3 linked regions of the Arabidopsis thaliana genome follow. The protein of the gene in region 2 purifies or fractionates together with the protein of the main gene of each other region. This does not show direct contact. Each region holds a gene or a part of one and is shown on either strand. Other genes may lie near its edges. The genes, in order: AT3G05060, J2 and AT5G27140.

Region 1 (11,451 bases), on a different chromosome or scaffold from region 2:
TTGATTTTGTAGAAACTTTCACGATCCTAAGCGTTGGAGTTGCTCTTATGTCTCTAAATTAATAAGTTTTAGGTCTCTCTATATACGAAAGCTACGATTTTTATTGGCATCTATACCAATATACATATTTTCAATTTCAAAAACATTTATATTACGTCAACTCTTACAATAATGACGTAGGCTTCTAGAACAATAAATATAAGGATCAAATAAATAATTTACATAGAATGTAAATTAATTCCTCTCATTTCTGTGTTTTGTCAATTCTCTTGTACAATACACATAACAACCAAATAAAGAACATATAACCCACCAAAAAGATAAAATTTGGAATTTTGTTTTTTTCTCAATCTATCAAAAAGGAAACTTTTGAAATTTGGAGATGAATAATAATTATTATCTCAAACAACGATTCTTTTGCCTTTGACCTTAGAAGCCATTCTTCTCTCTTTGTTAATATCGTTTCTTCTCCTTGTGGTTGAGTCAGGTGCTCCAATGGGAGCCAAAGGGCCTGACCAAGTTTGAAATGGCTCTTTGGAGTATGATGATGTGAATGAGTTTGTGCTATACGGTATCTCTGATGGATCCAGTCGCCTTGAAGATCCCACCTGAAAACCGAGTGACCCGTCTTGATGCGGTGGAGGAAACTTCTCGCTCTTGCTCTTTGCATTCGCGTGTGTGATCATACGCATCCTCTGTTTTAAGAGAACAAGTTCAAAGTACTCAAGACATTAACCAATCAAAGATTCACTTCTTTTTTTGTTTTAAATTCTTACATCAATGTTAGACTGGTTCTCGGCGTTGGCTTCAGGAGCCGGCATTGCTCTTGGGGCTCGTTCTCGGGGTCTCATTCTTCTTCCGCTCTCTCCTTGGGCCTTGCGCGCTTCTCTTTGTCTGCAGAAATGAATACATCTCTCAAGCAACCATATACCAAACCAAAACATATTCTGACTAAAACTGAGATTGTACCAAACCTATCCATACTAGAACAGAAACGCTTTACCTCCGATACTCTTCGTCTCGTCTCTTGGCATCAATCTCTTTACTTGGAGGATATTTCGGGAGATCAGAAGGTTGACATGCCAATGGCTCCGTCGTGAAGAACTGCACAACAACAACAACAAAATCGGCCATGGAAGTTTTAACCACTATCAAGTCACACGCCTAAAGATTCACAAGTTCCAAGCATTTTTCATTCTTAGCGTCACTCTCATTTCTGTAATCTAACTTGATACCCCTAACTAGTTTGTTCTATTCAAAGTTTCAAAATTTCCATTGCAAAAAACTTACATCACTCATCAACACATCTGTAGCTGTCTGGCGTTCAGCTGGATCGAGCGCTAGAAGCGTATCGAGTAGAGAAAGCGCCTCAGGAGAGAAATCTTTGTAAACCTCTCTTATTCTTCTCTTATACTGTGGTAAAGGCTTGTGATGAGCATGCTTATGAGTAGAAGGAAGTCTAATCTTCTTCCAATATTCTTCTGAAGGCGATCCACATAACTTATATATCCTATGCAACTGCTCGACCTGCTCGTGAACATTAAGCCAGTTCACATTTCATATGAAATAACTCAAATCGGAAAGAAAAAGATCATTACTTGAGAACTAACCTCGTTACGACCTGGCATTATCGCTCTACCAGCTAATAACTCAGCTAAAATGCAACCAGCACTCCACAAATCAACTCCGACACTGTACTCAACAACACCATGAAGAAGCTCTGGTGATCTGTACCATAAAGTAACAACCCGATTCGTCATCTCTTGCCTCTTACTCGCATCAAAAAACGTTGCAAGCCCGAAATCACCTATTCTAAGAACTCCACCGTCATCTATAAGAAGGTTTGATCCTTTAATATCACGGTGTAGAACTCCTCGGTTATGGCAATGCTCGAGCCCTGAAAGTAGTTGCTTCATATAGCATTTAACCTGAAAACATAGACATTATTAACAAGGTTAGGATCTGCCTCGGATTTTGTATTTGTGAATCTATTTCACCAAGGCCTAACCTGTTGCTCAGTGAATTTTATCTCCGGGCTAGCGGCGAGACCAGCTAAATCATGATCCATATAACGGAAAACCAAGTATAAACTACTCGACATCCTCGAAGTAACCAAACCTTCCAATTTAATGACATTAGGATGATCCAATCTCCTCAAAATCAGAATCTCTCTAGCCATAAATTTTAAACTCTCCCGTTCATTAACATCACACCGCACTTTCTTTAAAGCCACAATGTTTCCTGTCAGCGAATCTTTCGCCTTGTACACATTACTATACGTTCCTGATCCAATCTACACACACACACACACATAACCAACAAACTTCAATTACCCAAAATCATTGCAAAGAACAAACAAAAACAGATTTTGATCTCACCTTATCAATCTTCTCAAAGGAATCCGCTTTTCTTGGAAGCCATCCGCTTAACGCTTCCCCACAAACTTCAGACAACCACGAGGGCCATCCAGCAGCAACTTGCTCACCGAGCAAATTCTTTGGCGGGTTGCTCCGTCTCGGGTCAGGAGGCTTAGACCTTTTTCTTTCGCCTTTCGATTTCCTCTCCTTGGCCTCAGTCACAACAAAGCCATTCTCTTTCTTCTGATCCACAACATCTTCATGATTCCTAACTTCCTCACCATTAGAAGCAGAAGCAACAACAACAGCACTAGTGCTCTCTGTTGTTTCGGTTTTGGTCACAGACACATTGTTAACTTGATGTCGATTAGACTCAATCCTAGTACTAACTTCGTCTCTAGACCCAGAAACTGATCCTGATGATCCGGGTCGACCCAATACACAACCCATCTCATCAAACAAACCTTCATTTGCTCAACATGTTTCTAAAAGAGAGATCTCTGACTCAATCAAACCTCTTTGAATCAACTTTGACTGCAACACACACACATACATGAAAAATTGAAACAGAAAAAATCAGAAAACAAACAAGAAAATTGATTCCAACTAGAAACACATCGAAGATCAGATTTGACTAAAACAGGAGACTTAGAGAAAAGGGTTGGTGAAATTTACTTACTTTATGATCGAGGAGAAGCGAAATTCTGGACCAAGCTGGTCAAATCTGAGACTTGAACAGAGAAAGAAAATTAAACCCTAGTTTTAAGACAGGAGACAAGTCAAAGGAAGGTAAAGATCTGAAACTTGTTTAGAATTTAGACACAACACAAAGCTGACTCAAACTCAAAGAGACAACGAAAATAGGAATGAAATGAGGGATGATTTCAAAAACTCCACAAAGAGAGGCAAAAAGATAAAGGAAAAGGAAAAGAAATGGAGTCCAAGAAGATTTTAAAAATGAAACCTTTAAAGCATACACAAAAAAAGAAGAAAGAAAAATCAATTAGGGCTTTGGAGAAAAGGCAAGGTGATACATACACATATACAACAGAGTCGTAGACCAATAATAACTCTACTATTGTTTAAGAAGGAAGAAAGAGACCAACTTGGGTAAAAATGTCTCAAGGAGAAGAAGGATTCGTTGAACTGCTCTTCGAATTTTACTTGAAAAAGAACTCTCTTTAGTTTTCTGCGAATCAGACAAGAAAAAGGAATAAATAGAAACAGACGAAGATCTGTTGGCTCTTTGTTATTATTATTATTATGTGTAAGTAATTGTTTTTGGACGCAACACCAATACGGTCAAAAAGGCTCAAAGTTACTACTCTTCTTCAGCCCCCACCAACTTAAAAACCTCTGAGCACCATTTTGTACTCATTTCTTCTCTCTTTTCTCTATCACAATTTTCAATTTTAAAAATTTGTGGAGTACTATAAGTCTATAAAGTTTGGGGGAGATTTTAATGTGTAAGAGGTCCAATGGTGTTAAAGAAGTGGTTTTCTCAATGACATTAGAATATTAAAACTGATCTATAATTTTGTTGGTCAAAAACAATATATTACTTAGCATATGTAAAGAATATTTGGTATGTACCCACCTAATTTTGGAATTTATTATTAAAATAAACACTAAGAGTTTTTTTTAATATTAAAATAGGAATTGGAAAAACAAATAAAATAAGAAATATGGTATGTAATGAGAGTTTACTTCATCTATCCAATCAAAGAAGCTCCTTTATCAAGACTCTATTGTAAACCAAACAAGGAACAAAAGCTTAAGGAACTAATGATTTACGTCTGTCCTTTAGAATTAGCCATTTTATTTCTTTTATGACTTAAAGCTACATATATTATCTATTTATTCATTCATTCCCAGCATTATTGCTAACTACTATGTATTCTTGTAGACGATATACTAATTTTATTGACCTCATTAATTTGATTAAAATCTTGCCAGACAATAACCAAAGATAAACATGCATAGTCAACAAAGAGAAATACGATCATGAAAAAGATACTAACGCCTGTAAAAAATCTTTAAAATCAAAACAAAATCAAAGAGTATTTTATTTGGTGAATCTACAGACACGTTTAGTAGCAAAAAACTATTTGATTTTTTCAGAATATATTATTTTTCTTCAATTCTTTCCTCTTCCAGATATATATAAATCATGCAAGAAGAATATTGTACAACTACAAACTATAAATTGAAAAAAGAGTTCCAAAATTAATAATCTAGAGTCTGGAAGGCTAGAACAAAAATAAAGTTCGGGTGAAAAGGATTTAAATATGAATCCATCATTCAAAATGACGATTTCAGAAAATTTAAGTTTCATCTTAAAACACCTATTCCTCTAGATAAAATGCAATTCAACAAAAACAGTTATTAATCTTACACTCAAGAGATTTCTCAAAATCGGTTTCTCTCCCTCAGTCCTTACTCTTCTTTTTCTTCTCTTTCTTATCCTTCTTCTTGGCTGGTGTCTCCGTTGTTTCTTCTTCCTCATGCTTTCTCTTCTTCTTATTCTTCTTCTTCTCCTCCTTTGCAACCTCTACTACGGCTTCAGTTTCTGCTTCAGCTTTCTTCTTCTTCTTTTTCTCTGATGGCTCTTCCTCTTCGGGTTTCTCTTCTTCTACCTTCTTCTTCTTTTTCTTATCTTTCTTCTTTGATGGCTCCTCAGATTTAGCTGAGGTTTCCCCAAGAAGAGAATCTGCAGCAGTGTTGTAAGTCTGCACATAACAAAAAACAGTCAAGATCACTTCATCATAATCCCAAGAACAAAGACAATATGTACACACATCCAAAATTAGAAGAAAAGATGATGAATCAAAAACAGAGAGAATGATCGTGACCTTAGCAGGAGTGATAAGACCGCCTGATCCCATCTTTTTATCCTTGTTATAGACTTCAATCTTAGGTTTGCCTTTAGATGAACCAGACAGACGACCTAAATCTTTTCCTTCAAGATTTCTCAACCGCGCTTCAAGCTGTGAGTTTTTAACACATATCAGAAACATCATCAGTTAAGAAGGAGGAAAAAAGATTGTTCAGAGAGATACCAACAAGAGGAAAGCTATTGAAGAATTTTGTTACCTTAGCTCGGTTTTCAAGGCCCATAGTGTTATCTTGGCTATCACCAAGAGCATCAACCCTAATAGCAAGAACAGTTTTAGCAGCTAAAGACCGCGAGATCTTTCCCTTGTGCTTTGGTGCTGCTTGACCAACCAGAGATGCGTGAAAAATCAAACCGTACTTGGGTGTGGCGTGTTTTGTCTTAAGAGCTCTAAAGAGAGCTTTTTCGGCTCCGAGTATCTGAACCGTGCTCCCAGGTTGCTTGGAGAGGTTCAATAAACTACCTCCATGGGAAATAAGACGAGCACCAACAAGCTCTCCTACCAGGGCAGTCAGATTGGGAGCAATAGTGTTCATTCTGCTCTTTAGGTAATCGTAAAGCTGAGCTCTGTACTCAGAAAGAGAGAGAACCTGGTCACAGAGTTCACGGATGTGCAACAAGTCTAAGTCACTGACTTCTGTTCCCATGGATATCACAGCTGCGTCCTTAAGATCTGCCTCAATTTCATCTGCTAAGATCTACAATGAAACCAGAAACAGGAGAATATTAGGTCGTTAATCAAGGCGTTTGTTCATGGAAGCCTCTACACAGTTTACAAAATTGAAAGTTACCTCGGAGAAGTCTAGCTTAGCAGCATTAACTCGGTTTCCCATCAATTTAACAGATTTGGCATATAGGATATTGTCTGATATGATCTTAGCAAGCTCGGGAAAATGCCATCCATACCATTCTCTAACCCTCATGGCGTATGTGTTCAGCTCTTTGTCAAGATCATCAAGCAGACCAATAGCTTGGATAATCATGGTATCCACCTGACAAAAACTAAACAGTTAGGAGATGCAAGAGAAGCAAAAACAAACACAGGAAACGTTTAATGTCGGACAATCAAAGGCTAGTTCAATACAGAAGTTCCATAATTTAACACAAGTTAGCTTCGATCAATTAACAAATTCATATACTTCACATATCATATCACCAAATAAAAAGACCAATACAATTAGTCAGGAACCGAAGATACCTTGTCAGAACTAAACTTTAGCTTATATCTGGCGAGACTGTGAGACAGACCCAAGCTCATAGGAGCCAAGTCTTGATCACCCAACCCAGATATGAGTTCAGTAAACTGACTTCTAACACCACGTAGAAGCTCCATAACAGCATTGTTGTGAATGCAATCAATTTTCTGTATGAAATTAAGAACTTTCATTAGAAACAAAACACAGAGCAGACAGGAATATGGGTGTAATGATGGGAATTACAAACCAGTTTCTCCTTGATAACATTCCCAAGCTTTGAATCAGCCACAGCCAAGGTTTCACCTTGACAATTAGCTTTCAAAAACTTGCGCAGACCTTTGCTTGGAGCTCCCTCCAGCAATTTAGCCACAGCTTCGAGAGCTTCAGATGTATTGTCAAACTTCTCAAAAGCTTTTAGCTTAACCATCTGGTACACCAATAAAAACATATGAGAAACTCAACACTAAATCTAATTTTAGATGTTCTGAAACCACACTTGATGAAGAAGCAAAAAAATTACCTTTCGTGCTGAGTCTGGAGTGTCGAACTCTTTACACAAATCCTGCAAAAAAAAATAAAAAATAATCCATGAATACTTTTAGAGCCTTAAGGATAAGCAAAGAGAGTACAAAAGAATGAAGAGAACTCACCTCGACGTTAGCCATCTTTCCTTCATCTTTAACTTTAAAGAGGGCAAACCCCGCCGCTGTCTCGTATAGCACTAAGACCATCTTCACAAAACTCTTAAGCTGGACCTGAAGAGAAAATTAAGACAACACTTAACTCAGAACAGTAAAGATACGTGTCCGAGTCACACTAATTAAACTAAAAGTTCGTTTTGAGATTAAAAACTAGCGAGAAACAGCATTCCATATAAACCCTAATCCTACTTTTAGATCACATAAGAAATACAGGAGAAGAAAAAACAGAGAGATAAACTACAATAGCCTTAAAACTCTGTCCGAGTATGAGTATTCGAAACTCCACAATCTCCAGCAAGAATGGAAAAGTGAAACACCGTGAAGAGAGAAGATGAGAGATATTAAATACCTGAAGAGTTAATCAAAGCAGCTGCGTGAGAGAGAGGAAGAAGATGAAGACGGAGACGGACAATCACTTAGGGTTTTAAGAGTGTGTTGTTATAGCAGTTAAAGACGAGCCGAGCCTTCTTAAAACGCCGCGTATTGTAAGGGGTATTTCTATAACTTCCATAGTTAGGGTTTAGGTTTTAAGATTAATGGGCCTGACTGAATGGATATTTTAATCTGGCCCGTTTATAATATTAATACGTGGGCGTTTTATTGTTCTCTTCCCCCTTAATAGTTTTTCTTTTTTAATCCCTTTGTTTCTCTGTGGTATTCAACAAATTTGTCTCGAATTTATAGAGCTCGAAGCTTCAAGGTACGGTTTCAAATTTTCTCGTTGATTTTCTGGGTAGATAGCGTTTTCCATACTTCTCTTCAACTTTATTTCATAGTATAGCTCTGATTTTGCTAAAACTTCATCTGATTAGTTCCGTGGATCCTGAAAATCACGATTTTGCGTGTTGTTTAGGGTTATACTCTGTAGTTGTGTGATTAGTGTTTGAAGAAGCTGGGCTAGTGTTCGATGTTTACGTCGATAACCTAATTTTGCAGGAAGTTATAATGGCTAGTGAAGATGAATCGATTGAACAAAAAGCTGCTGCTCGTAAAGAGGCACTTAAAGCTCTAAGGGCAGCTCAGGAACTGTCTGAGACCAAGGAAGACGGAGAGGATGAAGCTGTCGAAGAAGAGTGAGTTTGCTTTGTTCTTTGCTTATTTTGTTTGTCTTGACTAGCACATGGAGTTGTTAATGTTGTGTGTTGGCTTTAGCATAACTAGGAGCTTCTCTTGTGCTTTGCTTCTCGCCTTTACTATCACTGTTTGTGAGAGAATCAATAATGGTGCTCTTGCAGCATCTGTTACCTAACAATTTTTTCCAATTTCAAGTTGCATTGTTGTGTATACTTTGCTTAGGTGGTTGGTTTTGTTGATTGATTATTCGAGGTAGATTCCCTTTTTATTCATATGAATTGTCTTTGATTTTACAGTGGTCCAGCCATGAAGTTTAGAAACTATGTTCCCCAAGCTAAGGAGCTTCAGGATGGTAAACTAGCGCCACCAGAGCTACCCAAATTCGAAGATCCGATCGTTGCACTTCCACCTGCTGTAGAGAAGAAAGAGGTGTGTGTGACAGTTTTTCTTTTCTCTGTACAAGGATCACCAAAAGCGACTCTGTTTAGCATTGTTGTTTCCTTTACTTGTGCCTCTTAAGCTTACAAAAAATGTTATCATTGTAGGACCCATTTGTTAACATCGCTCCAAAGAAGCCAAACTGGGACCTCCGAAGAGATGTGCAGAAGAAGCTTGATAAGCTCGAAAGGCGGACTCAAAAGGCAATGCATAAACTCATGGGTAAGTGGCAACTGTATCTACATACTGATATCTTCTATGTAAGCTTGATAATTAAGACATTAGTCTGTGGTTCGTGAGTAAGTGAGTAACATTTCACTGAATCTGTTGGTAGTATGATACCAAATCATAGAAGTCCAAAATAGAGTGATCTGTTGGTGTTTGTTTATTATGGAACTAACACATGCACTTTCATCATCTAATTGCAGAGGAGCAAGAGAAAGAACGTGAGATGGCTGAAGCTGATGGTAACACCATAGAAAGTTGAAACCCAACGACGTCATCAAAGAAAGCCACCACTGAACAGTATATTCTACTCGATTTTGTTTAACTGTTAAAGCATTCGAAGTGAGTAGACCATGTAAAATCCTACAGCCATTGGCATAGACATAGTAGGTTTATCTTCTTGTGTGAATCAAAGAAAGTCGCAATTTATTTCCGAGTAGAATTAAGTGCGGTCCGGTTTTTCTCTAAATTTGGTTCAACATCGGTGGTAATCTAGTTTGATCATTAATGGAACTGCGTTTTTTGGTTTGATTCGATTTACTGTGGTTTGATAAAGACATCCCAAACTAGAAACCAAAGTTTTGATTCGGGCTAGACGGGTTTAGTTTGGAGTCTGGGAAAACAACACAGAGAGCTTCTAAGACCTTTCTTCTCGGCATGTTGCTTCCACAGTGGGATGATGGAGTTTAGATACAATATTTGTTTATTAATACCGAACAATCAAAAATAGATACTAAGTTTTTTTGTTTTCCAAAGCTCAAACCTAATGTACAAATTCAGTAAAGCTTTCGACACCATCTCACCTAAATATCTTGGACCTTTATTGGTGCCCACTTCTCATGAATCCAAGCTCCAAAGAAGAGAAGCTAAGTAAACACTAGGCCAAGGTAAACCAAGATATATGCTTTTCGAAGGAACAAGCAATGAAAAGCTATAGACTTCCATGTGATTAAATGCACCAGCAGACAGATCCCAATCTGTAGAGCAATAAATGAATATGGTGATATTCAATTTCAAGGCTTCGATCAACATAACATTATTGTTCCTATCATTTGTTTCAAACCAAAAAGAGCAATCTACAAAGGCTTTGGTATCAGGAGTTGTGAAAAAGCTCACATGAAAAATCTACCAACTCAAGTATCTCTATTTTTCTTTCTGATGAAAATACCTAATATGAAATCACCTTCCCAAGTAAAAACTGTCAAGTAGATGGAGCCGCTCAATAAATTTTATCTTGACAACACACCAACATAATGCATTACCACAAGTTTTCACCTTTTTCTAATATTTTACCTCAAAAGTTATCTAGCTATAGCCACTCTGTAGTTGAGAATCAGATCCTCAGGTTTCTTCCATACATATGCCCGTACAGTTGCTAAACTCATATCTGGAGATAAGACCTGAAATAATCACAGAGAAACAGCTCGTTCAGCCTCATACTGCAAACAGTTAATTGAAACCAGAAACAGGGCAATAGTTGGATCTCTTGAAGTCTGACTTGCCTGGCTATTACATAAGATCTCAATGGAAGGTCTAAGTTTCTGCCAAGGCTTTAATCCAGACTGTAACAATCCATTTCCTGAAAACAGTGGCTGAGGTTGTCCTCCTGAAACACTTGCTGCATCAATAGCTAGACTATCCAACGGATTGTCAAGGACCATCTTTTCCACAACGTAATTGGTAACCTACATAGACATTTAAGAAGCCATTGAATAACAGAGAGTGCAAGCAAAACTACAACTTAAAATTACAGATAAATGCACCTTGTGAACTCTTAAGATCCGGGGTGCACTAAGTTTCCCTAGTGTAACCACCTGCACCGATGAACCTTCACATGGATGCAGGAAGAAGCTTAATCTGTAAATTTGAAGAGCTTTCAAAGTCAGACATTTTATGAAAGAAGTTTTATCTATTTATAAAAAAATGTAAAAACATATGTGATGAAATTGCTAAAAGTCCAAACTATTTTTTTTTTTAGAGAACAAGGTACTGCCGAATACTTTGTATTTTCTCTAGGTGGAAGCCGATTGTTCAAGACAGCGTCCAAGCACCACAATGGGAAGTCCTTCTCATCTTCAGTTCCAGTAAACTCGGTTATCTTCTTCCTCCATGGTCCTCCTTGAGAACCCTCAGTTATGATGGAAGGAGGGGAGACGGAAGAAAACTCGAATGGAGGATACACCGGATCACTTGCAGCACTACTCTCTTCAGTTTTTGATGCACTTAGATTTTTTTTGGTATCTTTTACAGATAAAGTATCTCCAGAGGCAAGAACTTGGGGTTTTGGTTTGTGTTTCTTCTTTGCCAGCCAGTGACCCAGCAGGCCTTTCAGTGTTTCACGAGCTAGATTAATCTACAAATCACAAGATCCAATGACAAAATTAGGTTTACTTTGACTAGGTTAGAGCAAACGAAAATCTAAAATATTCAATTATGGTGAACAGATTCAAATATTAATTGCATACAGAGATTTATTAGTATATGCAACAGTAAGATAATAATAAAATATCTGATTAGATTCAACATAACTAAAATGCAGGCAATTAATCTACCTTATCATCTTCAGG
Region 2 (10,646 bases):
GAGAGACTTTCAGAAAGCAGGAAAGAAGGTAAGAGACACATTGTTAGCTAGGAAAATGCTTGCATTGGTGAATTACTTTTTTTTTTTTTTTTTCATTTAAGTGAGAACTCAATCTAAGCCTCTTTTTTTGTCACTCATCAGGCCAAAAAAGGAGAGACGCGACCTCCAAAATTGAAGACAGAGGATCCGAACAAATCATACGTCCAAAGGCCGGTCAAGAAAGGCTGATCTCTGCCTTCATTTGTTTTTGCTGTTGTTGACATTGATAGATATTGGTCTTCTCGAGGATAATCTCAGACTCTCTCTTCTTGTGTCTGTGTTTCTTCCCTTTGTACATCACCAACTTCATTCGTCTTTCCAAATACATCAGAGACAGGGAAGCGATATCTCACTTCTCACATTATGACCTTAACTTATTGCGTCTCAGTCCAGATGATGTCATTAGCCTCTAGATTAAAATAGTAAACTTTGATCTTTTATATATTCAATGTGGTGTTCACCACAAGAGATAACATATTCTCTTCATAGATTTCCTTGACACAATTATAATGCTACAGACCCCAAGCCTTTGAGGTAAAAAGAGCTCTGCTATGTAACAGCACCAGCTCCAAAGAACAAAAAGAAGAACAAAAAGAAAAACAAAAAAAAAAATTACAAGTTCGGTTTCTCTGTCTCTTGATCTGTGTTCTCGTGTCGTGTGATATATATGTCACAACAGCTAACAAGCCTGAGCTCCGAGTACCACTAAAGCTGGTTTATTTATTTCAAGCCTCAAAGCCTCCTAACATCGTTTCGCTTTGCCTCTTCTTAATTCTGAAAGTGGCATTTGTTCTTCAACCCATACATAAAACCTCTCCGGTCACCAAAACTTTTGTTTTCTCACCCTGAAAAGACAATACCCAAAAGCAAAGCGAAAGTGAGCATCTATTCAGTTTTGTTAAAGATCCCAAGCAAGTGAACACCAACACAATGCAGTTCAACACGACTTTTTCAACGATGTATGACAGAGGAATGAAACAGATAAAGAAAAGAGCAAGGTACACTTATTATGGCACATTTGTACAATCCCGTTGTAATGTTCGGGATTGTTTGATCTAAATTACTAAATTGGATTCACCACGTCTTCTTCAACAAACAATATAACAAAACAATGCAGCCGAAAGGAGTACAGTATCCTTTTCATGGCAGATTTGTATAATCCAAGTTGATTCTTATCATTCTTGATCAGTCTAAAAAACACTTCAAGTGCTTTTCTTTAGCCCTTCACTAATAAACCAGAGTTTGATGATTAAGCTATAAAATCCAATTACTGTGTAACCACCTTAGCCAATGTTCTACTTATAAAAACATTTTTCATTTTTGATGGCTTTAGATCAAAACTATCAATCTCGGTTTAGTTCCTAGACCAAAACACATAGACACACCACAATTATGAAAGTCAGTAACAAAGTAGAGGCTTTGGGAAAAAACCTTACCTGCATAACTTAATCTCTGAAAATCACAGAATCTGCAATGGCCAAAAGCGGCTTCAAGCAATCCGGAGTAAATTTGCGGGCGAAAAAGTAGGAGCTAGAGTGATTCGATCGCCGGAGTCTCTGGATCAACTCTGGCACAACTTCCTTTGGTTTGTAAGTATAAGGATGTCCTTTCACAGTCCCAGTCCAGTTAACTCGCGTCAACGTATACCCAGTGCAACCATCCGGATCCTTCATGTTCAACAGCGTCGGGAAATAATGCTCCTCCGGGTAACACTCATCAGAACGATAACACGGGAGCTTGAATTTACGCCACAAGATCCGATCTTTGATTGTTAACAAAGCATGTCTTCTAGTCATAACAAAGAACTGCGAACCAACTCTGAATTTCTCAAACGGAACCTCAGGCATCATAGCATACCTTCCTCTAGCAGTGTACCGTTTCCAAAGCCTAGGCTCATCAGATATCAGTTCCATAAAACTCCGATACAAGATTCTAATACCTCTCGGATTCGGATTCGGATCCGGATCAGATTTATCAAAAATTGAAGATTCAAAGAGAGAGCTATAAACATAGTTGAACGAGTGGAGAGGAATACAATACTGAGAGAGCACAGCGAAGTAAGTGTTCGCAGGGTCATCAAGGAAAGCGGTAGCGAGGAGGCGCCGCGTGGCGGAGATAAGAGTCGGAGAAGCTCTTGCGGTGCGTTTCGCGTTTGCAATGAAGGCATTCTCAAACACAGAGCCATTCCCAGGTCTTGTGACATTGACAAAAGGATCTGCGTGGACATAGACGTTGTAGAGAGATTTCGAATGACCAGAGAAGAATCGATCCCAGATTGGCGCGAAATGGAGATCGGAGTTGGTGAGGAATAGAAAAGCAATCTTGAGCTTAGGGTTAGGGTTTCCAGATGAGAGATGAGAAAGAGAGGTTGATCCAGCAGCGGCGATGAATAAACTCCGGTCATCAATCTCATCGGAGATTGGGATTAAAGATTCACCAGGAGGAGAAGGAAACACATGTGGCGCTACAAAGAAGAAAACAAATGGGAGACATAGGAGAAGAGAGAAGAAGAGAACAAACTGATTCGAGAACATTTGGAAAAGGAAAACAAAAATCGGAAACCCTAGAAATTTTTGACTTCCCCAGAAACTGGAAAAAAATCTACCGGAATGTGATTGAATCTCCCATGGATTAGCAGATTCTGAAGATAAAGCGTTGTCTCGATTTCACATTACTGGAGCTATGAGAAATAGATTCTCATAGCTTTTTTCCGACGATAATACGTCGACGAACCTCTCTCAAAGACTGAACGAAATCGATGAAGAAATATAGAAAGAAACTCCTGAAAAACGAAGGTTATCTATCTCCAGAAATTTGGGGGAAAATCAGCAAAGATTGAAAATTTATGGGGGAATTTAATGAGAATTTAGAAATATCTTTCAGATCTCAGATTGTAAAAAAAAAAAAAAATTCAATCACAGTCAGTGATGATGAGAGATTAAGATGACGGAGTATTGTTTTTAATCAATCTGTGATTGACGCGCCACTTTGGCCGTAGGGGTATTTACGTCAATTTACAAAACCGACAAGCGTTATAATACCTGACGTCGTCAAGTTTATTATAGTAACTGTTTTGTTTATCGGAACGAGACGGATGAGTTAACGGCGTTGCGCTGTGTTTACCGTCGTTGATAACGGCGATGATACGTCGGTCGATAATGATGTGTGAGTGCTATTTTTTATTCATTTGATTTTTATGTTTTTTAGTAATAAACGTGAGGATTTTTGTAATAAATTAGACATTGAATGTTGTATCTAATTCGGTAGGTCCAACTGATTTGGTAACTGGTAATGCACTATTTTGCTCGGATGGATGTTTTATTTCTTTTTAAGGACACGTATTAGATTAGATGTATAAGCTTATGCTTTTATACTCATGAGTCATGACTCTTTACAACAGAAATACTATGGTTCAATTTTCTTTGGAAGGAGATTAAACCCGCTTTTTATCCCCAGTCCATATGATTACAAATTATAATCCAAAATTTTCTGATTTTCGGTTTATGAAGGAAAAAATAAAATTACAATAGGGTATTAATCTGAGAATTACGCATAAAGTGCATAATGCTAATCGTAATTTGAATGGAGTCAATACTTCGTGGTAGGCGTCGTGGATGGTAAATTTTTTAAAACGATGTGATATATATTCAAATAAAGCCTCATAATGCTTAAAAAGACAAAATAATAACATTGGAGAATAGCCTTTTAGTATTATTTTTTTAATAGAATAAGTGTATATAATAATTTATATTGAATGTGTGAGTAATATACAGCCCAATGCAATCATTTTATAATCCCCATGATACAAAAGAAAGAAAGGAGAATTGATATAGATACGGTATACCAAAATAGATGCATTGATTTGAAGTCAACCAAAGCATATTACATGGAACATAGTCGAAACCAAGTCAAATTAAAGGCTGGATCCAGGAACCTAGAGGCAAAATCTACAACGAGTGCTTGTTGTTTTTTGTATATGTACTTTTTTTTTACTTTGTTAAAAGTCTTTTTATACGTACTTACGAAGTTGTATTAGCTATCATAAGCATTGGTCGTACATATCGTACGCGACACATGACGCACTTTGGTAAAGGAGAATGAATAAGTACCCCATGTGAATAATGTTTGAAGCACTTTTAGTAAACGGGTTAATATCTTACTCAGGCCCATGATTAATGATTTGTGTAATCATTTTGTTTTGAGATATTGCATTACTCATGCATTTATAAAATGATTTAGATCACTTGAAGTACTTGACAAAATTTGTCAATTGGATTCTCTATGTTGATCGGGTATAACATTTTTCAGTCAGGACTAAATTGCATTCAATAAATTATATTTCATCTATTCCTTGACAATTGATTTTCTAAAAAAATATACATATTAAAAGTTGATTATAAATATATTATTTTTGATGATTAATAATTTTCTACTATTCTAAACTAATATTATTTAATTATTATTTTTAAAATTTAAAATTTATCAATAATAACTAATAAATATTACATAGAAAATCGAAAAATTAATTTTTAATCAATAAATAACAGAAATAACTTGATTATATGCCTGTCTATAATATTTTTTTGTTTGCAGTTAGATTATATATGTTGATATAATACTCTAAAGTCTGTATTTAAAAAGAGATAAAATTATTGTATATTAATTATATTTGGATTCTGATTGATAAAAGAAAAACCTTAATATTTTGTTAACTGAAAAGAAGAGACCTTTAATATGTTATATGTCAAACAACAATAGATGAATATATGAACTTCTTAATGTAAATTTCAAAGTAATCTCCTTTTCTTACAATTTTTAAATTAAAATTTCCATAATTCCATATTTTTAGTCTTTTTTTTTTCCGTCTATATTTTTAGTCTATCATAGAAGAAATTTCCTATTTCTTTCTCAATAAAAACAAAATTGAGAAAAGGAAAAGGGCAAAAAGAAAAAGATATAAAAAGTTCTAGAGTGTTCCGCTTCACAAGACCTTGAACAGAAGCAAAGTCTTCAAAACCAAACAAGTTAGCAGCCACAACATTCTCCTTCTCCTTCTCCTCGTGAAGACTTTTCTCTCTGTTTATTTTTTTTAGGGTTTTCGTAAGAACAGAGCAAAAAACATGTTTGGAAGAGGACCTTCAAGGAAGAGCGATAACACAAAGTTCTACGAGATCCTTGGTGTTCCTAAGACCGCAGCACCAGAAGATCTCAAGAAAGCTTATAAGAAAGCCGCTATCAAAAACCATCCTGATAAGGGTGGTGATCCCGAAAAGGTTTCTCTTTTCGATTCTCGCTTAGATTCTCTGTAAATTCAATTCGTTAATCTAGTAGTTTGATTTGAATTCTCCGATTGATATAGGCTTAGATCTTCGTATTAGTATTACGAATGTTCGATTCGATCTGAAATCTGCGAGTTTTAGGTCAACTATTGATGGTTGTTTTTGTCTTGTGATAGTTAAAAGTTGTTAGATTGTTTGTTGTTGGGATTACGAATATTCAGATAGCCAAATTTCTTCTTTTGGAACTTTTGAGACAAGAATTTATTGCTTTGGAGGTTATGATGATTTGAGTTTATAGTTAACGGTTTAATTCTTGTTTCTGCAGTTTAAAGAGTTAGCACAGGCTTATGAAGTTTTAAGTGATCCTGAGAAGCGTGAGATCTATGATCAATATGGGGAAGATGCACTCAAGGAAGGAATGGGTGGTGGAGGTGGTGGACACGATCCATTTGATATCTTCTCTTCCTTCTTTGGTAGTGGTGGACACCCATTCGGAAGTCATAGCCGGGGAAGGAGGCAGAGGCGTGGTGAAGATGTTGTTCATCCCTTGAAGGTTTCCTTAGAGGATGTTTATCTCGGAACAACAAAGAAGCTCTCACTTTCTAGGAAGGCTTTGTGCTCAAAGTGTAACGGGTTAGTTCTTATTTACTTTATACTTTCACAGTTGTTGTATTGCTTTGTGTTTGTTACCAAATTTTTACTGTTTCTGACAATATTTGCTTTATGATTACAGCAAGGGTTCAAAGTCTGGAGCTTCAATGAAATGTGGTGGCTGTCAAGGTTCGGGAATGAAGATCTCGATCAGGCAGTTTGGACCTGGAATGATGCAGCAGGTGCAGCATGCTTGTAATGATTGCAAAGGCACAGGAGAGACCATCAATGATCGGGACAGGTGTCCACAATGCAAAGGAGAGAAGGTTGTCTCTGAGAAGAAGGTGCTTGAAGTAAATGTGGAGAAGGGAATGCAACACAATCAGAAGATCACATTCAGTGGACAAGCCGATGAAGCGGTATGTGATACTCTATTTGTCCTGGCTTTGATCATTATATATTTCGTCTATTGACATTTTCCTTTCTTTTTCATTTGGAAACAGCCTGATACTGTCACCGGAGATATAGTGTTTGTCATTCAGCAGAAGGAGCACCCAAAGTTCAAAAGAAAGGGTGAGGATCTCTTTGTGGAGCACACCATCTCTCTAACCGAGGCCTTGTGTGGCTTCCAGTTTGTCTTGACCCATTTGGACAAAAGACAGCTTCTCATCAAATCCAAGCCCGGAGAGGTCGTCAAACCTGGTACGTATTTTACTTTGGCCCAGTCATAAACCCTTTCTGTATTATAGATGACAACTTTTCTTTATCTTACCATGGTGTCTATTTTACTGCTGATAGATTCATACAAGGCGATAAGTGATGAGGGAATGCCAATATACCAAAGGCCGTTCATGAAGGGTAAGCTATACATTCACTTCACGGTTGAATTCCCGGAATCGCTGAGCCCGGATCAGACAAAGGCCATTGAAGCAGTTTTGCCAAAGCCAACCAAGGCAGCTATAAGCGATATGGAAATAGACGACTGCGAAGAGACGACTCTGCATGATGTGAACATTGAGGATGAGATGAAAAGGAAGGCGCAAGCTCAAAGAGAGGCTTATGATGACGATGAGGAAGATCACCCAGGCGGTGCTCAGCGTGTGCAATGTGCCCAGCAGTGATCAACATGCGCATCTTAGTGATCTCCAATATTTGCTTCTGTCTTTTCTCCTTTTCATTGTATTATTTTTGGGTCTTTTTATAGACTTTGCCAATTCAGTGGGAAGAACCTCGTCCTAATTCAAATCCTTGTTACACCATTTTTTTTGGTTTGAGAAATAAACTTGTAGTTCTTGAGATTTTGTCCTGACCCACCATCTATTTGTTGTCCCAAATTCTACCAAAATCATAAGTCGGGGATTGCCTTTTAGGCCTATTCAAAGTAGAGGAGACGTGTACAAGGATATGGTTCTGACAATACCAATATTACTTACTAGCGACCATTTAGATTGCAGCTTAGAGAATTAGAGATTCTCACCAGTACTTGGTAAAGAGTTGTTTTTCAAATAAGGTAAGAAAGAAATCAATTGCCATCAGTTACAAATATCAAAAGTTATATCAAGACAAGTACAATGCTACTACACTATAAGCTGTTATTACATCTAGAATGGTGTAAAAATAGGCAAAAGACTAAATAAGGATGATAAACCACATGTCATCTCAATTTCAACCATCAAACCCAATTCAATTCACAAAAAAAAAACTAGTATTCAAGTTGCAACATCGATCTTCTTCTGTAGATACCGGTATACATGTGTAATTGAGAATGAAGGAGGCTCATACCTCGTTTTTATGCAGAGTCGAGCCACGGCTAAGACTTTCTGGAGTTCTCTAGAGCTATAGTTGTTACCTAAATCTGGATCAATCATCTTATCAATTGAGTTTGCAATACACGAGTCTTGTACCCATTCGATCAAGTCATTGCCTTGTCTGTCTGATGATTGTCCTGTGATCAGCTCCAACATCAACACTCCTAGTTGGAATATCACGTTTCCACATTCCTCATCCGCACATGATCCTACATATCAAATTCTCAAACCTTAAGTAAAGCAGAATACCATTGATCTTGGAAAGAAGAAATTTTAACCTTCAGAACAAGAATCATGGGTTGCTTTCGGATGGTTTTTTGGATGTCTGTTGACGCGGATATCTGAAATCTGTGAGAGGAAGATTTCAGTTATTGAAATTTGGTTTTGTCTGCACTGAACTTTGTATCTTCGAACTTACTTTGGGGGTGAAGTTTTCATCCAACATGATGTTACATGAGTTCACTGAAACATCATATATCTGTGCATCATTACTGCTGAAGACTAGCAAGTATTCCTGCAGTCAAAGAGCGGATCATAATCTTCTTGTGTTGAATAAGCAAGAACTCATATTACTGTCCATGATTTTTAAAAACAACTTACTAATGCAGCTGCGACTCCAATAGCTATCTGAATGCGAGTCTTCCAATTTAAAGGAGTCTTAAGCGGATCTATCAAGAAAGAGACAAAGGTTCAATAAAGGATTATGTCTTGATGATTATGTATTGGGAGTTTTCTACCATTGAGGTGTTCTTTTAAACTTCCATTTTCAATGTTGTCAAACACTAGCAGCCTGAAAAGCAAGAACAAGAAATCATAAGCAAACAAACAAACAAAAAATTGTTTTTTTCTCTTTCAAGGTTTCAACTTTCAAGAAGTAAAAGGAAACCTCTTTCGTCCAATGCAAAACCCACGAAGTGTAAGGAGATGACGGTGACGTAAGCGACCCAAAAGCTGAACTTCCTCATCAAACCTTTCTCGTCCAAGATCAAGAGCAGTGAGTTCTTTGACCAAAGCAACCTCACCACCTTTGAATTTAGCTCTGTATGCAGACCCGTGATAGTTGGTGTAAATAACCTTACGGAAACCTTCTGTTGCTTTGATTATTTCCTTGTATCCAAATCGTCTGATAAACTCTATTCTTCCTGTAATGATATCAAAAATTGAAGCATGTATAAATTACTCCAGAAACTATAACATACAACACAGACTAACATTGTCTCATATAGAAAAGTCAAACCAAGTCACTCAAATGATTCATGAAACTAAGAAACAGCCAAGTTTATGGAACCAATTGAAATCTCCACGAAATTAGAACAGAGTATTAAGCAAATCATAGTTTTCTCCAAAGCATTGACCAACATCAAATTTACTAAAACCTCAGGGATAACGTAAACCCTAGAACATACTCGAACTATAGTACATCTATCAACTAGAAGATCCATTAGAATTGATCTGAGATTAAAGAAGAGCTAAGAAAGTCAAAATCTAGTCGAGAATAGTGGAAACCAAATCTGAAAACAGAGGATAATCACGAAAATGAAGGGAGATTGGGACGAAATTGTGAGGGTTACCGGAGCGAGAACGACGGAGCCAAGCAAGAAGAAGAAAGCGGATTCTGCGGCTTAAGCGAAGGCGATCATCCATGGCGATTCACTTTCCTTTTCTTCACTGTTGCTTCACGAGAAGCTCTATATCTTTGTCTCTCTCTCTCACTCGCTAATCTCTGTTTTAATCTGCTTTTTTTGAAAATTGAGAGATGATTGCGGAGAATGGGATCTGATGCTTTCTTGGAAGTTTTGGAGGAGTGTCAGTTGTACGAAAGCTTTAGCTCTGAGCTGTAATATCAACCTCACGCCTTTTTTTCTTCTTCCTCTTTCTATATTTTTAACAGTTATTAGTGATTTGTGTTAAAAAAAAAAAAACAGTTAGTAATGATAACGGTTTTTTAATACTAAATAAACAGTTATTAGAGATTATTTGTCACTAACCCTCTTTTGTTTCTTTGTTAAAAACTTTAAATTATTTTTTTCAAGTTTTTGGAACCTTGTAAAATAGTCTCAGTGATCGATTATTGAAAGAAAAAAAATTAGAAATTTCAAGTCCGACAGGTGAAGTAAAATCCTTTGTTAAATGAATTAAGTTTAAGGTTTATATTTTGAAAAATGTATATTGTTTAACACAATGTATATTAATTGAAGTTGGGGAGTTTTTTGTTTTCTGTTTTTTTTTTGCTCCTAGTTCATAAGTAAACTTTTCATATTTTCATTATTTTGGATAAGAACAACGAAATGTGGCCCCAAACTCTCGAGAAGATGTTGTCCATTACTTATTCCTCAAAATTTTGATTTTGTCTACCAAAGCTTAAACACCCATACGGCAGCATAATAACGAATCATGATGGTCTTCAAGACGATATTATTTTTAATAAAATGCGATCTTTAATTTCTATAAAACAAACATGTTACACTTAAAAGAAATGATTTATAACCAAGAAAGTGTTACCAGTAAAGACGTAGGAGCTGGTAAAAAACATCAAAGCCTAGAGATGAATCTTCCCACCAAAAATCTGAATTCATAAAACCTCAATAGATATCAGGTGTTGTGGGTAAATCTGAAAAACCTTAATAAGTTTTAGGACTACTTAGCTTGTTGATACCTGAATTGTTTTTTATTTTTTCTTCTATATCATATGTACCCGTTAATTTCAGAAATGTAAACGCATTTATAACCAAATATCCTAATTAGATGAATAATTATGAAATAAATCTATTTAAAATAATCTCTACTTAAAAACATCGGCAATTCGGACAGCTTTGATTCTGTTTCAGCCAAGAGTCAATACAAAGGCGATGAAAAACATGTCTACACATATTTATACGGATAATATCATGGCCATCTTCAAATTCTTCAAGACAAATTGAACAACAAA
Region 3 (10,446 bases), 2.2 Mb from region 2:
TTCTTCAACTTTCTTTTGTAATTATGAATTCTGGATTTGTGCAATTGTGTTTTGGATATATTACCTGTAATGTTGCTTAAAGGATTAAGCTGTTTGTTGTTGTTGTTGTTGTTGTATTCTGCAGACATACAACACTGCTGCAGACTCTCTTCTTCAAACTCCCACAGTGGATTCAGAGAACGGTGTGAAAGAGAAGAAAGACAAAAAGAAGAAGAAGAAGGCTGATGATGAGGAAGAAGCCAAAACTGAGGAGCCCTCAAAGAAGAAATCGAATAAGAAGAAGACAGAAGCAGAACCTGAAACCGCCGAAGAGCCTGCAAAGAAGGAGAAGAAGAAGAAGAGAAAACACGAGGAAGAGGAAACTGAAATGCCTGCTAAGAAGAAGGAAAAGAGTGAGAAGAAGAAGAAGAAGAAAACTGAGGTCTGAAGAGACCTTTAATATTTTTGCGTGGTCTAGTTTACTTTGTTATCAGAAACAAAGAAAATCTTTTGTGGCGTTAGGTGTTAAGTAAGGTTTTTGTTTTGTTTGAAACTTAAAAAAAAGAACTACTCTTCGTTTTGTAAGGTTATAATATGTTTGGTTTAGTCCTTATCCCAGAAACTTGCATTTTGCCAAACGAGTCAAGACCTTACCGTTAAATCCTTCTAATCTTAGTATAACGTAATTACTCATAGTTGATTAGTTCATAAATTTGTAAAGATCAGTCCGAAGAGTCGACATTTTTCATCAAGTGTATCATTGACATTTTAAAAAACCTTGTACAAAATGAATATTTGTGAGTCTAAAAAGTACCTTAATAGTCAATTGGAAATGGATTGGGTTGAGCATAAGGCAAATCATACCAGACCTTAGAAATTTCAAAAGATAAATAAAATCTAGAGTCTACCTACTTTGTGTGTGTATATATTTTTATTGTGCTATAAATTTTGTGATGAATATGAATCAAAATTCTTTCTGAATATTTCGTGATAATGGTTCCGTCAATATCAAAATTTACTACTGAACATATATGTTTTAAAATATTTAACTGGATTTTAATTCATAAAGTTTTTTTTATTTTTAATTAAATTTAGTTGCCGTGGAAAAAGTTTAATCTATAGTGTTTTATGTAATCATTGTAGGTAATGTTCAAAAAATCTGCCTAGACACCTATCGAACTGGATTTTAATTTATAAAGTCTTTTTATTTGTAAGTAAACTAGTAGGCAGCCCGTGCCTTGCACGCAAAACAACAATACCAATAATATATTTCGTGTCTTTGAAATTTGCAACAATTACACAAATGACGAATATCACAACCTCACAAAATACAATGTGTATCACACATTGCTCTATAACTCTCAATAAAAGTCCTATTCAACTTTACTCAAATTGTAAAATAATATATGTGTTAAAATTAAGAAAACTTTTATTGGAAACAGCAAATAATCTTACATAAATACACTAACTTATCTCATAGATATATAGAAAAAAATATATATATATATACAGAGCCGTTTTTTCTTCTCAAAAAACTTAACAATAATAATGATGGAGAAATGAATTACCTTCTAACCAAAACGCTTTTCTAAACTTGAACATATAAGATGGTTTCACATTTAAATTATTTTGCACACTACACCGTGGAAGAAGATGTCATGTCATGCCACCCATCTCTCAATTTGGTTATCTTCTTCTTCTTCTTCTTCTTTTTCTGAATTGAAAGCCCCAAAACATTTGCATCCATTTTGTTTCTATATGATTCTCGCAAACTCATGTGGTCATTTTGTAGCAGCGGGTGTGCATGGAAAATGTAAGAAGATAAGACCAAGTAAAACGCAACAAAACGGCCAAAGGTTTATTGATATTCATACCAGCGATTGGGTGGACCAAACTCAGTGAGTCGTGAGGGGTTAACAGCGTCCATCACATTAGGTATCACAAAAGTCTCAACTTTCATTATTTACGTCATTCTTTCGTTTCTCTGGTAGACGTATTTAGATGAAAGAATGGAGGATCTAAGATTATGAGAAAGGAAAGAAGAAGAAGAATTTAAACCTGTTTTTATCTTCTTGAGAATGGCTTATACGGTTGCTCTTGAGATCGTAAATTAACTGGCAGAGGGTTTGAAAGATGGGAGAGAAAGTAAAGAATCTTAATAACGTGGAAGAAGTAGTTGCTGAAAAAGTGGTTAAAAAAATTTAAATTTATCTTTTGTCAAAAAAGAATATTCTATTGAATAGTAAAAGGAAGTGAATTGGTTTACGATTGTGGAAGTGCAAAATTTTAGACTTAAAGCATACGTGTCAAAATGAGAAGCTTACAGTTTTTTTAAAAGTGACTGTTGATTTAGTATTATTAGATTTAGTTGCCGCGAAAAAGTTTAATATATAGTGTTTTATGTACTTATTATAGGTAATGTTCAAAAAAATAGCCTAGACATCTATCGAACGTCTAGCTACCGTACAACGATTTTTTGAACATTGATTATAGGTAACTAAATCTACATATACATTTTTGCCGCCATTTTGTGAAATAAATCTTAGAGTTGGAACTTATTTATAATGGCTGCCACTAGCTTTTAATTATTGTTTTTTTTGCAATAAATTAATTAACAAGCAAAAAAAATTCCAAATATATTCTAATCCCATATATCACGCAGATTTCTCCAAAATTGAACTAAATTTCGGTAACTATTTAAAACAAAAAATGTTTGACAAACCAAAATACAATTGCAATCCCTTAAAATGAGCAAAATGCACCTAAATACATTTCTTATCAATTCACTAAATCTAATTTCTCCAAAATTTGAATTAGATTTCGACAAATATTTTTAAAAAAATTTGTTTGACAAACTAAAATACAATTGCAATCCCGTAAAATATTTATTTTAATTATATATTTAAATTAACGGTGTACCACTGGGTTTTTTTACGGGACGAGTTTGGCGGAACGGGTTTGAAAGAACGTTACTTAATAACAATTGTAAACTATAAAATATTTTTATTTTATAGATAGATATAATTTGCAAACTTTTATATATACTGATTTAAAAAAATAAATTATTTCTACGGTATAACGCGGGTTAAAATCTAATATTTAGATAATTTTGAATATCCAATATATATGTTTAATTGTTTATAGTAGTAATAATTTTTTTCTGCTATTGTTGTAATAAAAGAAATCTCTAAAACGTTTTAGTAGGAAAGAAAAAAAACGTTAAATGCATAGAAATAAAGTTGGGCAGTAAAAGGAAAACAACAAGACCTAATTAAGTTTGACATATATAACTCAGGCGGCTATTACATCTATAAATATGGGTAATATATCTATCTTGCTTCTACTCTCTCTTTTCACTTTTTCTCTGTGTCTATTTGTCTCTCCGTAAGAAACATTATGCCTTCATCTGATTCCACGATGATGAAGAAAGGAACAAAGCGCAAAATCGAAATAAAGAAACGAGAAACCAAAGAGCAACGAGCCGTGACTTGCTCTAAACGCCGTCAAACTGTTTTTTCCAAAGCCGCCGATCTCTGTCTTATCTCCGGTGCTAACATCGCCGTCTTCGTAACCTCTCCCTCCGATAGTTCCGATGTTGTCTATTCCTTCTCCGGTTACTCCTCTGCCTACGAAATCGCTGATTGTTACCTAAATCGCAAGCCTCCACCCAAGATTGTTAACCCGGCCGGATCCAAACTAGGATTTTGGTGGGAAGACCCTGATCTCTACCATTCGTGTGATGATCTCTCTGAGTTAAGCATTATCGAGGATCGTTTACAGAGAATGAAGAAGCATGTGATGGCTTGCCTTGAGAAGGAAGAAAAATCTCAACTTGTTTCTAGTTTCGACCAAAACCCTAATAGTACTTGTTCTCTCGACGTCGAGGATTGTGATGGATCTTCTTATTCGCAAATTGCTTCTACTTTTACTCCAAACTCTGTCAACGAGTATTGCAGCGATCAAACCTTTTCTTCTTTCCATGGCGATCAAAACCCTAACCTCTCGTCTCCGTCTTTTGATCAGGACTGTTACTCCTCTCTCTATCAGATCTGTGGAGAATCATCTTCACAAGTTGCTTCTTTTGATCAAAACCCTAGCTCCGAGATCCAAGGATTTGAAACAGAGGAAGAGATTAACCAAATCAATCTACTACTACAAGAAACACAAACAGAGGCCAATGTCAATTTGGATGATGAGATCTGCTTTTGGAATGATCTATCCAACGATGATGTGTTTGGTCTAAACAGCTACTTCGGTCTCGATAACACCAATGCAATGATCAACTTCGGAGATTCCGACTTTAGACGTCATGTCTGATATGATGTGGTTGTAATCTTCAGAACTTGTTCTGATTTTGTCTCATTGTAAACAGAGATTCTTGATCCAATTTAAGTTTTTGTAAACCTTTTTTCCTTTATTGTTTGATACTCTGATGTGAACCCTTTCGAAGTTGAAAGTAAATTGTTTGAATCAGTTTTGCAATTCCACTTACTAGTTTGTTGATGTTAAATTCAAGTTAGTGATTTGAATTTGGATTCTCAGAAAAGAAGAACACAGTTTTTGGAGCTTTTGCTTGTAATTTTACATGAGTTTTAGCCTTTAGCTGAACACTTTTTGATTCCTTAATGGTCATCTTGTTAGGTGATGTGTTTGAACTTTGAACAGAGTACTTGAGATTAATTTAAGATTATGTATGTAACGTAGATTAGATGAACATATTTATACCAACATTTTATTAAAAAAGTAACTATAATCATTTTTCGAATTAGTAATTAATTTTATAGTTTCTTTAAGGTAATCATATATTTTACAATTTGTATATTAAAATTAGCAGATCAAACTCTGTTTTTGATAGAGAATAAATAAACTTTGTTTTTGATAATCTTTTCCCTTAGAAGTAAGGTCGGTTATTTTGACATCTTTAAAAATTAATTGTATAATTCTTTTTAGAAATATACCATTTTAAGAAAATAAGAATAGTTTTTTTTTTAAAGGTTTTTTTTTAGTTTTTTGTGAAAATTATATTTTCACATGTTTTTTTTCCGTAACTTTTTAATAGAAAATCATATATTTATTTTCTTATATATATAGATCGTCGATTAAGAATCTCGAACCCTTATAGCAAATTCGTTGCTCCTCTTTTTTTCTTTCTCTAACGCAGCAGCTTTGCTTAAATCCTCTTAGGTATTTATTGAATCTTTCTCCGTTGTCAGTGGAACGTGGCTTCCAAGTATTAGTTTTTGACTAAGTATAGTTCTGACTTTGAGATGTTGAGTTGATTAAAGGGTTTCTCGTAATCTTAAAGATGCTCGTACTGTTTGAGACGTCAGGTGGTTTTGCACTCTTTAAAGTATTAGATGAAGGAAAGCTCTCTAATGTTGAGGTTATTTACCTTATTCATTCTCTTACTTTCATTGATCTTAACCTTGTCTATATGTGTCGTTTGTTTTTAATATTCTAAGTATGTCAAATTTGTTCTTGTAGGATTTGGGTACTGAGTTCTACTCTGCAGAGTCAGCTCGAAGGATGGTTAAGCTAAAAGCTTTTCATAAGTTTGACAACACATCTGAACTCCAAGCAAGGGTCTACACAAGTTTTTGAAAAATAACTGTGATGATGGTGAAATCTTAGCTGTGGCTGATCCAAAGCTTGGAGATATCATCACAGAGAAACTGGTGTGTATTTTGTTATGATCTTTTACATATTTCTGTATATATATGGCTTGTGTCTTACGGATTTGCTTCTCTCCTCTAGGACATAGAATGTGTTCACAACGATGCTGTTATGGAGCTGTTACGAGGTGTGAGAAGTCAGTTAACCGAACTTTTATCCGGATTGGATGATAATGATTTAGCTCCAGTGAGCTTGGAATTGTCTCACATCCTTGCTAGATATAAACTAAAAATCACCTCTGACAAGGTAGTCATTGAGTTCTCTGTGTTTTGTTTTACCCTTGCTTATGTTACTTTTCCCCTCTCATACTTAAAATGTTTTGTTAGGTGGAGACCATGATAATCCTATCTATCAGTCTGCTTGATGATCTTGACAAAGAGCTTAACACTTACACTACGAGCGTTTGTGAATTGTACGGTTTGCATTTTCCCGAGCTTGCTAATATTGTACAGGACAATATCTTATATGCCAAGGTGGTTAAACTAATGGGGAATCGGATTAATGCTGCAACGCTAGACTTCTCTGAGGTAAAGCCTTATTTACCATTCTCCTTGACTTTTTGTTTCCATTAAACTATAGTTTTGTCTTTATGAAACATCTTTCTGTGTCCAATGTCATCTCAGATATTGGCTGATGAAGTTGAAGCAGAACTAAAAGAGGCTTCTATGGTGTCTACGAGAACTGAAGTCAGTGACCTTGATTTGATGCACATCCAAGAACTCTGTGACCAAGTTCTTTCAATCGCTGAGGACAAAACTCTGCTTTGTGACGACTTGAAGAACAAAATGAACAAAATTGCACCAAATCTAACTGCCCTTGTCGGGGAGCTAGTCGGTGCTCGCTTAATATCTCATTGTGGTAGTTTATGGAACCTCTCAAAGCTACCATGGAGCACAATTCAGATTCTTGGAGCTGAAAAGACCCTATATAAAGCCCTTAAGACCAAACAAGCCACTCCAAAGTATGGTTTAATCTACCACGCACCTTTGGTTAGGCAAGCTGCACCAGAGAACAAGGGTAAAATCGCACGTTCACTAGCTGCAAAATCTGCTCTTGCTATCCGGTGTGATGCTTTTGGTAATGGCCAAGACAACACTATGGGAGTCGAAAGCCGCTTAAAGGTATTCTTCTCTCCCGCCCGATCCTATCTACATTTTTCTTCCTTCTTTGATGGTCTAATTTTTTTCGACAGCTTGAAGCGCGCTTGAGAAATCTTGAAGGAGGAGATTTAGGAGCATGCGAAGAAGAAGAAGAAGTTAATGACAAAGATACAAAGAAGGAGGCTGATGATGAGGAAGAACCCAAAACTGAGGAGTGTTCGAAGAAGAGGAAGAAAGAAGCAGAACTTGAAACCGTGGAAGATCCCGCAAAGAAGAGCAAACAAGAGGGTGTAACAGGATTATTACTCCTGATGCTTTTAATTTCTCTAATCTATTTCTTTTCTGTTAACCAGTTGCTATGGTAAGCCATTAGCTCAGATATACAAAATTATGCGTGAGTAACACGTCTAGTTTCTTGACGTTTTGTTAGGATCATGTTGATACTCTTTCAAAGTCATTCAATTCAAAAACGGTTTCCCTTGTCATTTGGTTCGGTAGACTTGACAAAAAAAATAATCAGTTAAAGATGTGGTTAAGACCAACAAATATGTTCACAAGAACGTAAACATCAAGGTTCTGTCGCTTTAGACTTGATTTACAAGTGGATTTAAACATGATTAATTCACAAGCTAAACATCCATAAGAGTTGGATAAAAAAAAAATCCAATTCCATAAATAAATGAAAGAGAAAAGTGGATCAAAAACAAAATCAAATTTGTAAAAAGGTTATGTGGCTTTGAATTCCATAACCTTTGAATCACTCAATCGAACCTATTGAAATTGCGATGCTACTAAGAGCCGGACCATAACACATGAACATGAAACATTACAGTGGCCCCCATTCTAAAGGGGCCTCAAAGAAATTTTATTTTAGTTATATATACATATATTGATTTTTGATAATGGGAGAAAATAGTTAGTTTTATACATATAAATCCTAAATAACTGTGTGGTCCAAAATATTTGAGAATATTATTGTACTTTTGTTTTTAACTCCAGAATTTTGTTTAAATTAGTTTCTATTTACTCTATAATTTTTAAGATAAGAGTACTTTGTTTTCGTAATTTAAATAGGGCCCCGGATTTCATTGATCCGGCTTTAGGCTCTAGAAAATGCCTTATATGTATGTTGAACAAAAATGCAGAAACCTTGAGATATCCATGATTGATGTAGAGAAAGCTCTGATGCAAAAAGTGTCACGCTCAATATTTACCTTTTTTGTGTGTTTTAATCTTATATCTTTACTCTATTAAGACCAGAACACTCTGTTTGCTTGAATAACAAACAATTTAACAATAACCAAATATTTTGTCATTTCGACATATGTAAGGAACGTGAGTTGGTTTATACTCTATAAGGAAAAGAGTTACCAATGAACAATAATTTCCTAATTAAAAATTAGTAAACGTTAAAAGTATTTTTTTGTCATTCCGACATGGCCTCGTTTTTTTCCTCGAAAATTTAGAAATAATCATATTATTTTTACTTACAAAATACATATATATATATATATATAGATATATATAACTATAGTTAGAACAACTATATTGTCGTGAATAGGTAAATTTGGGAATCGTGATGATATATAATTTGGATCCGTAGATTGTAGGTGATGCATTTTTGTACCTAATCTTTAATTCCAAAATAAGTGGATAGCTCTATATGAAATTTGGCCCTACTTTATTTGACATGACCTTTTAAATATTTGAAAAGCCATGAGACAATTTATTTAATTTTCATAACCGTGATAATAAAAACAATTTGTTTGTAAGAACAATTACATAACAACATTTATCTAAATTATGAGTCTCGTCGGCGGTATGTAAAATATGTTAATATTATCCTTTTTCTATGTAATAGAATAATAGATTATCTTTCTTGGTTGGCACTAAATTGCACGTTAAATACTTGAAAACTTTGTATGTTGAAATAGTAATCCAATTTTAACGAAACTTTTTATTTTGTAAAGATTTTGATGGGCTTTTTAAAACAATTTCTACGACGTGGACAGACTTTGGAGTTTGTATGATTAATTAGATTCAGATCCTCACGTAGATTGAATAAACAATAACTCAATAATTGATCCTTCTCAAATTTTAATAAAATAAAAACATTTTTTAATAATAAAATAACAACATTACAAAATACCAAAATATGTAGGGTAATAGTTTTTGCTAATATAGTTATTATATTATTACTAAAATATAAATTCACATGTTAATATTTGTTGTTGACAAAAACAAAAACAATGATATTACAAAAAAACAAATAGGGTGATTAAACGCTAGAAGATCCGTAACCATTTTGATGACAAAAAGATATGGTACTAAGATGAACACGTTTTTGAGAATATTCAAAACAAATTCATTTCCGAAAGATTATCAATTTTCAAGCATACAGTATGATCTGGTAAACTATAAATGGTAGAACCACGATAATTAACTAGTCGATTCTATATGTTATGACATAGACTTAGCTAGGAGCATATCCGGCAGACCGGCACTAATCTAATGATTTCATGAGTTGTTATTATCTAAACTAATTAACAATTAATAGAATGAAATATAGTTTTATATTTAAGTTTTTTTTTTTTTTTTTTTTTTTTTCGGAATATCAGGAGGTTCTGGGCCGAAACCCGTAATCCCTTCAGGCCTGAAACCACAACATGTAATATTAGTTTCGTCCCAAACATCACTCGAACTAACGACCTCTAAGTTTCGCCTAGGATCTTTACCAATTGAGGTAACAACGCTTGGTCAAGTTTAAATCATTGTTGCTTTCTGTGAGATTTTGATCCCTATAACCTAATTTATCTTATGAGAAATTAACCTTTTTTGATAAAGGATAAGGAAAATAGTAACCTTGTATAAAAAAATTCATTGCCATTTTCATATATATATATATATATATATATATATCCTAAAATGTATATCTCTAATAAAATTAGAAGAAATGATACCAAAAATAAAGGTGAAATCATGATAAAATTTTGTTTTTTTTTGTTTTGGTTCATTGAGTTTGCCATTAACGCTTTTTTTTTATAAATAATTTCGTCTACACAAATTCATCCATATAATATTTTCTTTTACTGCATCAGAGTTTCACTATGTATTTAGGTTTTTTATGAATTTTAAAAAAGTTCAGCATCAAGGTGAAGAAAATTCCAAAAAAATAAATAAAACGGTGACCCAAAAAAAACTTGTTGTCTTCAAAACCAAAAGTACTCGACAAATCAAATAGATAAATCATGAATCTTAGTACAGTCAGGTTTTATCGTCTACGATAAGTTCCACAATAAATCCAAACACTAAACTGTTCAGATCTCAGATAGTAACTTTAAATCAACGGCTATAAATTCGCCATTTGTACTTTCATTTACACAACAGAGAATAATACATACACTCTATCTCTCTCCTATTCGTAACTTATATTTCTCTCTCTACTGTGTTTAGAAATTGGAATCTTCTCTCTTCTCTATCTCCCTCTCTCTTAAAAAGGGACCGTACACGTCTCTCTCTATTTCCAGTAAAAAATCGAAATTTCGTATAATTTCCTCAGTCCCGTAATTTTCTCCTTTTTTTTCTTCCCCAATTCCTTCAATTTTCGAATTCGCCTCTCTGTTTCGTTCCTCGTAGACGAAGAAGAAGAAGAATCTCAGGTTTTAGCTTTCGAAGCTTCCAAAATTTTGAATTT

What was found.
Region 1: the proteins of J2 (region 2) and AT3G05060 fractionate together in Arabidopsis thaliana (co-fractionation; one large-scale study listed by BioGRID). This does not show direct contact.
Region 3: the proteins of J2 (region 2) and AT5G27140 fractionate together in Arabidopsis thaliana (co-fractionation; one large-scale study listed by BioGRID). This does not show direct contact.

The regions. Positions count from the first base shown.
Region 1 is NC_003074.8:1,408,388-1,419,838, forward strand, and holds AT3G05060 (NOP56-like pre RNA processing ribonucleoprotein), read right to left. Parts: upstream 7,670-11,451; 5' UTR 7,497-7,669; intron 7,202-7,496; 5' UTR 7,178-7,201; coding exon 7,097-7,177; intron 7,009-7,096; coding exon 6,967-7,008; intron 6,874-6,966; coding exon 6,694-6,873; intron 6,614-6,693; coding exon 6,449-6,613; intron 6,243-6,448; coding exon 6,042-6,242; intron 5,949-6,041; coding exon 5,451-5,948; intron 5,345-5,450; coding exon 5,210-5,344; intron 5,087-5,209; coding exon 4,787-5,086; 3' UTR 4,480-4,786; downstream 1-4,479. Other genes in the region: AT3G05050 (Protein kinase superfamily protein), read right to left, coding at 402-695, 777-894, 1,004-1,104, 1,291-1,527, 1,611-1,928, 2,009-2,293, 2,379-2,807; AT3G05070 (Cwf18 pre-mRNA splicing factor), read left to right, coding at 8,093-8,220, 8,518-8,650, 8,767-8,881, 9,088-9,146; AT3G05080 (uncharacterized protein), read left to right, coding at 9,651-9,758; LRS1 (Transducin/WD40 repeat-like superfamily protein), read right to left, coding at 10,186-10,284, 10,387-10,569, 10,648-10,741, 10,885-11,237, 11,437-11,451. UniProt on the Arabidopsis thaliana protein: Required for 60S ribosomal subunit biogenesis.
Region 2 is NC_003076.8:7,300,182-7,310,827, reverse strand, and holds J2 (DNAJ homologue 2), read left to right. Parts: upstream 1-4,957; 5' UTR 4,958-5,159; coding exon 5,160-5,312; intron 5,313-5,643; coding exon 5,644-5,951; intron 5,952-6,051; coding exon 6,052-6,328; intron 6,329-6,412; coding exon 6,413-6,611; intron 6,612-6,707; coding exon 6,708-7,030; 3' UTR 7,031-7,322; downstream 7,323-10,646. Other genes in the region: AT5G22080 (Chaperone DnaJ-domain superfamily protein), read left to right, coding at 1-28, 142-228; AT5G22070 (Core-2/I-branching beta-1,6-N-acetylglucosaminyltransferase family protein), read right to left, coding at 1,485-2,573; AT5G22050 (Protein kinase superfamily protein), read right to left, coding at 7,619-7,926, 7,996-8,065, 8,136-8,231, 8,318-8,385, 8,455-8,507, 8,604-8,859, 9,289-9,361. UniProt on the Arabidopsis thaliana protein: Plays a continuous role in plant development probably in the structural organization of compartments.
Region 3 is NC_003076.8:9,543,258-9,553,703, forward strand, and holds AT5G27140 (NOP56-like pre RNA processing ribonucleoprotein), read left to right. Parts: upstream 1-5,284; coding exon 5,285-5,362; intron 5,363-5,463; coding exon 5,464-5,508; intron 5,509-5,561; coding exon 5,562-5,654; intron 5,655-5,733; coding exon 5,734-5,898; intron 5,899-5,978; coding exon 5,979-6,179; intron 6,180-6,275; coding exon 6,276-6,773; intron 6,774-6,844; coding exon 6,845-7,117; downstream 7,118-10,446. Other genes in the region: AT5G27120 (NOP56-like pre RNA processing ribonucleoprotein), read left to right, coding at 125-427; AGL39 (AGAMOUS-like 39), read left to right, coding at 3,376-4,296. UniProt on the Arabidopsis thaliana protein: Required for 60S ribosomal subunit biogenesis.